Linked DNA regions of Nothobranchius furzeri. Each later gene encodes a partner of the first gene's protein in a complex. Links are inferred from orthologs where the notes say so. Each region holds a gene or a part of one and is shown in the gene's direction. Other genes may lie near its edges.

The links. Proteins that work in one complex are often made in the same cells at the same time.
Region 2: exosc3 (region 1) and exosc5 share a complex: the UniProt entries of both Homo sapiens proteins name them as parts of the RNA exosome core complex. The link is inferred for Nothobranchius furzeri from reciprocal best matches to the Homo sapiens genes EXOSC3 and EXOSC5.

The regions. Positions count from the first base shown.
Region 1 is NC_091741.1:64,434,336-64,438,604, forward strand, and holds the start of exosc3 (exosome complex component RRP40), read left to right. Parts: upstream 1-1,469; 5' UTR 1,470-1,511; coding exon 1,512-1,736; intron 1,737-2,223; coding exon 2,224-2,373; intron 2,374-3,060; coding exon 3,061-3,212; intron 3,213-3,748; coding exon 3,749-3,956; 3' UTR 3,957-4,269. UniProt on the Homo sapiens protein: Non-catalytic component of the RNA exosome complex which has 3'->5' exoribonuclease activity and participates in a multitude of cellular RNA processing and degradation events.
Region 2 is NC_091753.1:58,582,384-58,584,732, forward strand, and holds the end of exosc5 (exosome complex component RRP46), read left to right. Parts: coding exon 1-139; intron 140-1,466; coding exon 1,467-1,556; intron 1,557-1,657; coding exon 1,658-1,753; 3' UTR 1,754-1,849; downstream 1,850-2,349. UniProt on the Homo sapiens protein: Non-catalytic component of the RNA exosome complex which has 3'->5' exoribonuclease activity and participates in a multitude of cellular RNA processing and degradation events.

The DNA.
Region 1 (4,269 bases):
CAGCTCCTGACCACTGGAATTCCCAGTGTACTTTTAATTATCATTTATCCAAAATAAATCTTATTTTTTCTATCATTCTGTGTTCATGGTTGATTCTGCATGTCTTGGGTTAGACACATCCCTCAAAACATGACACATCACTCCCTGTTCTTAAATCTCTACTAGGGCTGCACATTTAATCAAATTTTATTCCCAATTATGACTTAAGTTTTGAACGATTATGAAAACAAAACAAGCCGATTATTTGCTCCTTCCTCTTGCACTGCTCCGAGTTGCAAATCAAGTGTTCACCCCCACAGTGTTGCCCACTTAGCAACTTTGTTGCTATTTCTAACAGCTATTCAGACCCCCTTCTTGACTTTTTAAATCCTAAAAGTACCTAGTTAACAACATGGAAACATCTAAGATAACACTTAGCTGCTTTCTGGATGGAGGGTGAAGGAGACATGTCCAACTTTTTAATCATTGAGGTGGGCTGAAAACAGCAGGAATACTCATATTATTAAAAATATGCACGCACCAGGGGCGTGTCCAGGGAGTAGCCTGGGGTAGCAAATGCCACCCTTGGAATCTGATTGGCCACCCCAGGTGCCACCACACTGAATTCCCTTTAAATAGGCTTTTCATTGTCCACAAAAGGCTTGGGGTAAAAAAAATGTAAAAAAGCATAACCATTGGTGCCACCCATGCACAAAGTAGTGCATCACCTAGGCCACCCCATTTTAAAAGATCTGGACACGCCACTGACACGCACCTCTCTTCTGACTGGCTAACAGAACATGTTCAGCCATGTTACAAAGTGACTATCACCAAGACACTCTCCGTTCTCTCTCCTCACTGTAAAAAAGTTAAAAAAGCCATCCTGTGCATGCACGAGCAAAGATAGGCTCGGCCAGTTCACACTGTGACATAGATATGTGAGGATTTTCAAATCCTAGCATTTCACAGTCTATTTTCTATCAGAAGCTAATGCAGGAGATAGGTGTAGAAGACTGTTTTCATGTTCAGCCTGCATGAAAAATTCAGAGTGACCGGTTCCCTGTCATTTCACTTTATTTATTATAACTCACCTTGTACTTCCTGATTTCTTTGTGTGAATTCCATATATGGGTTTATAGCAACATCTGGAGCAAATTTTGTGTCAATAGCCCACTTAGACATGCCCTTACTGATAAAAACGCTGAGGAGGTTCTGGGGTCAGTCGCTTCTATAGTTTTAAAAGATTCAGTGTGGACTGGAATCAGATTCATGCGGTTTGTCTGCCGCTCCATAAAGGGTCCCAAATCACGGCAAAGCTCCAGAAGGATCTCCTTCAGTATTCAGAAATTAGCCAGACTAAATAAATATATTATTTATATTTTTTATTGCAAAGCAAGAGTTTGGTCTAGTTCTCTTCTTGAGCAGCAGGGAGCGAGCTGAGCCGGAGGTCTATCTCCTCCTGAGCAGCAGGGGGCGCTCTGAGTCGGAACCAGAACAGAACCAAGAGGTCCAGACTTCTTCTAGCTAGCGGTATGTTTTCAAGTCTGAAGGAGAAAATCGGTGAAGTTCTTTTACCTGGAGATGAATTTGTCTTCGAGTCTGAGGACACAATTTTTCTAACAGACAATGTGAAGCCAGAGCGGCCGGTGTGTGGACCGGGGCTGCGGCAGAGCGGAAACCGGCTGGTGGTGAGCAAGAGCGGCGTGTTGAGGCACAAACCACCGCACACGTTTTGGATGGACTCACAGCAGTGGAGGGTGGGTACCGACCGGTCCAGACTGGACTCGCGGCCGAACCTGTCAGAACAGAACCGTGAGAGCTAATAGACAAGGTTCAGAGTTCTCACTGATGAAAAACCCGGCGGAAATTACATGTGTTTCTAGTTATTTGTCCCCCTATCCATACATTTGCGATGTGTTAACTTTTTTATACCCTAAAGTTTATCATTTATTATCTATTTCATATTCAAATCTGTTGAATATTCGTTTCCTTGTTAATGGTTATTTTTATTGTTCTATACACTTTGTTGTGATCGTATATAAAATTAAAAAGTTAATGTACCGGAAGTCTGAAGGAAGTCAAAGTTTGAAACTTTCTACAAAACTAAACTAGGGTGAAGTTAGGTTTATGTTGCAGTGGTGTTTTATACTGTTTCATCCGGTAACGATTATGGAAAGGTAAACTGGTCACGTTGGCACAAGCAGCATGTTCTATCCACTCACCACCTGAAACTTCTGTCCTCAGTATGTCCCAGCCAAAGCAGAGACGGTCATTGGTATTGTGACATCCAAGTCTGGGGACATCTTTAAGGTGGACGTTGGAGGCAGTGAGCAGGCATCTTTGTCCTATCTGGCCTTTGAAGGAGCTACAAAGAGGAACAGACCCAATGTCCAGGTGAGACTCAGGGGACAGTTTTTTTCTACTTGAAACAAGTGAGTCATGTTTAGAGTCCAGATTTGGGGGACCCGTCAGCTGTTTTTAGGAGTTCTGTGTCCCTTGTGACCCCAAAATCACAAGCATGCAACACACAGACACACATATGATCACTGTAGAGGATTGAAAGAAGAGTTCTGATGTATTGTTTTTACGCTGACCCAGTATGGAACGTGTCGGGACCAACAGGAAGTACACCTGATCGTTTAGTCATGCTGGGTGTCTTATGGGAAGAAAAAAAGTCTCAAAAAAATCTGTGTCTGTGTGTATCTTGATGTGTGTGTGTATCTAGATGTGTGTGTGTGTAGATAGATCTAAGCATGTATAACTCTTGATTTGTAACTTGTTTACATTTTCGTGTGTAACTTCAGTTCCTACACATACAGATCATTAAATAAACACACACACACAAATCACTTAGTACACACGGACAAAACTACATTACACACAGATCAGTTTACAAGTGCAAAAATCCTTTTGAGACTCATTTTCTCACCTGACTGATTTGTGCCTACATGGTGTGTTTGAATGCTGCATGTCTGATGGCTCAGGACCTTTTGGGTCCCTCTGGACTATCAGTACTTTGGTGCCCTGTCCTTATTGGACCAGATCAGCTTATGTATTGCCCTCTGTGTGTTCCCTGTGCAGGTTGGAGACCTGGTGTTCGCTCAGTTCACTGTAGCCAATAAAGACATGGAACCAGAGCTGGTGTGTATCGACGGATCGGGCCGGGCCAACGGGATGGGTGTTTTCGGAGGAGGTGGTCTGCTCCTCAAAGTCTCTCTGGGCCTCGTTAGAAGGTAACATTACCCAACATTTTCATTCTCTGACTGACAAACTCTGAACCAGCAGGAGCTTCTGGATGAGTATCAGGACTGGGTCAAAGGCCGGGTTCTGTTACAGTTGGGTTTCATCTACAGACATCAATTTACTTGCAAAGGTGTGAAGTTCTCACAGAACCACATATTTAGTCCTGATGGTTCTGGAACAAGACCCAGGTTATTTAAAGAGAATTTGTCTGAAACTGAAGCAGAGGTCATTGTCTGAGAACTGGGTCAGTTTGTCTTTAGTTCCATTTTTAATTGAACCATATGTGCCAGAGGGAGTGGCCTATTCTGACTCATAAGTCCAGTGTTGGGTAATAAAGAATCCTCTGACAGAACAGCTTCTGTGAGTGTCTTGCAGCTGTTCTAAATCAGAACAAGAGCCTCTTAACTCCTGCATGTATCTGTGAGTGATTATCAACAGGACAAAGTTAATCTGTTACAAAGACCCAACATTGAGTTCTGACATGGTAACAGCTCTGGTCGTGCTCTCGTTTCTCCCTCCCTAACAGGCTGCTGGCCCCCCAAAGTGACATCCGGTCTGACCTGGAACAGCTGTTCCCCTGTGAGCTGGTGGTGGGAATGAACGGTCGGATTTGGGTCCGAGCATCCACCATCCAGCAGACTCTGATCATCTCCAATCTCCTGCAGAGCTGTGACACCCTGACAGCACCGCAGAGACGGGAACAGTTCAGGAAGCTCCAGAAGGGGGGGCTGTAGGCTTCCCCCTCATCATATTTTACTCATTTTATTCATTAACTTGTTTATAACTTTGGTGGAAATAAGCTTTATTTCTGTTTGGAACAGGGTGACTTATTGGTTAAAAGTTTCATGACAGGTAGGAGCCATCACTGTGGAGACATGTGTTTGATCTTTAGAACTTGTGTTTAAACATCCAACAGTGGATTTTAGTTCTAAGGATCATTCCAGTGGAATTCAAAGCTGAGATGATGGAATGATGTAGCTGCAGTCTCAGGCAGGTGAATTTGGTGCCTGGAGGGAACCTGACAGATCAAATCCAACAAGTCTTAAA
Region 2 (2,349 bases), on another chromosome or scaffold:
CCTGTCCTGCTGCCTGAATGCGGCCTGCATGGCTCTGATGGATGCAGGCTTGTCCATGAGCTGTCTTTTCTGTGGAGTGACGTGCGCCATCGGTGCGGACGGTGACATCATCGCAGATCCCACAGCAGCTCAGGAGAAAGTAAATCTGAAAGGAATTTGAAGCAAATACTGAGACTCCTTTAGTTCTTTTCAGGTTTTAATTGATGCGAAGCTCTGATGAAGACGAGCCTGTAGAAAAACAGCTCCCAGGAATTCGGCACAGACGACCCCGGTGCAGTCGACATCATTTCAGCAGACCACACATCCATCCGTGGTTAAAAACCTGTGGGTGCTGACCTTTACTTACTTCACCTGCAGAGTTTCTCTCTGGGCCACGACTACATTTCCCAGGGAGTTTCCAAAATATCTCAAAATGTTTGCGAGAGGTTCTTAGCTTCCTCCTGAGTCGCAGGGCTTCGCACCTGGGTCTCTGGGTCTTTGTGGGTGTCCTGGAAGGATTCTGTTTAGTTTCTGTTTGAAATGTGAGACAACTTTGGGAGGAACCTGAGAAAAGACCTGAGAAGGCACGTTGTGACCGACTGGAGACCGAAAAGAGAGCATCCAAGCAACAATAACGAGGATAAATCACAAACAAGTTAAAGAGCAAGTCACCCCCTACCATACAAAACATACACACACACAGGCTCACAACGACATTGTGACATCATATGGTACCAGCTAACGTTCCAGGGTACCTCTTAGCCAATAGCGACGGCAGATTTAAATTCAACTGCAGTGCAGAGTTTTTACCTGACAACGGCACAACACTGACAGTTTTAGACAGAATATTTCAATTTTTACTAAAATGCATAAAAGTGCAAAACTGTTGATGACACGTGTCTGCAGCACGATTAGACACGCGTTTATATAGTTTATCAGAAAAACAAGCTGATTTGGGGGTGACTTGCTCTTTAAAGAGCAAGTCACCCCAAATAACCTTTTTTTTTGCTGATAAACTAAAGAAACGAGTGTCTAATCGTGCTGCAGACACGTGCCGTCAATAATTTGTCACTTCAGTGCATCTTAGTTAAAATTTAAATATTCTGCCTAAAACTGGCAGTGTTGTGCCGTTGTCAGGTAAAAACTCTGCATTGTATTCTAATTTAAATCTTCCACCACTATTGGCTAAGAGGTATGCTATGATGTAAACTGGTAGATTATGATGTCACAATGTCTGTGTGTGTGTATTTGTTAGCAGCTCCGCCCCCTTGGTCTGCCAGGCAACAGCATTTGTTGCATTTTTCAAACATGAAGTGGGAGTGGAGTTAGATTCTGGTAGGGGTTGACTTGCTCTTTAAGATATTTTAGGAAATACACAAAGTGTTTAGTGTGACTCAAACAGCTCATTTGGTAGTTCTGGGCCTCCAGCTGGTTGCTAATGGTAACAGCGCAGGCTAATGCTGACCTTTTGTTTTTTCTTCCGTAAGGAAAGTCGAGCGTTGATGACTTTCGCCATCGACAGCACAGAACGAAGAGTGATGATGTCATCGACCAAAGGTTCATTTTCGGTCCAGGAGGTGAGCGATGAAGCGGGCTGTGTGTGTTTGTGTTTCTAATTCCTTTACGGCTTCCTGTTCGTTCCTCTGACTCCGTCGTTTGTCTTTCCGTTCGTCCACAGCTGCAGGAATGTGTAGCCGTCAGCCAGAAAGCATCGGAGAAGGTCTTCCAGTTCTACAGAGACTCCGTGAGACGGCGCTACTCCAAAAACCTCTGATTCCCCCCCCCCCTTCCAAGTCTTCTTTTAATAGAAAGCATAAATATTCAGTTTTTATTAATTATTTTCAAATAAAAAGAGAGGAAAATCTTTTCATTTAAGTGCATTCATTAGGATTTATTGATTTAATTCAAATATTCACACTTGAGAGTGACCGAACCTCCGTCTGACTGACTCGATGGAAACGCCTTCGGGTTAGGGTGGATGGAAACCAGAGCGACAGGAATCTTTTATTTGTCCCACGACGCAACAAGGTTTGTTTCTGTAGGATGTTGAAGACGTGCAGGCACAGTGGAGCTGAATCATCTGACGAGAACAAGATGTCCTCCGCCTTCGTATGACAAAGCCAGTTATTTGTAGTCGGCTATGAAAACAGAACTGGGTTCTCTTTTCTGGACCGGGGGTCTCGTTGATCAAACGTTGCGTAGCATCCTTACTAAAACGTTCCATCTTTCCGTTCTTTTAAAAACAGAAAGGTTTTATTTACCTGCAGCGTTTCGTTTGCGGCTGCAAACTTTGTCAGAGCTGACGCCGATGGTGGCGTCACTTCCTACGTCGTTTATCCGCGGGCAGCAGAGGACGTTGTCGCCCTCTGC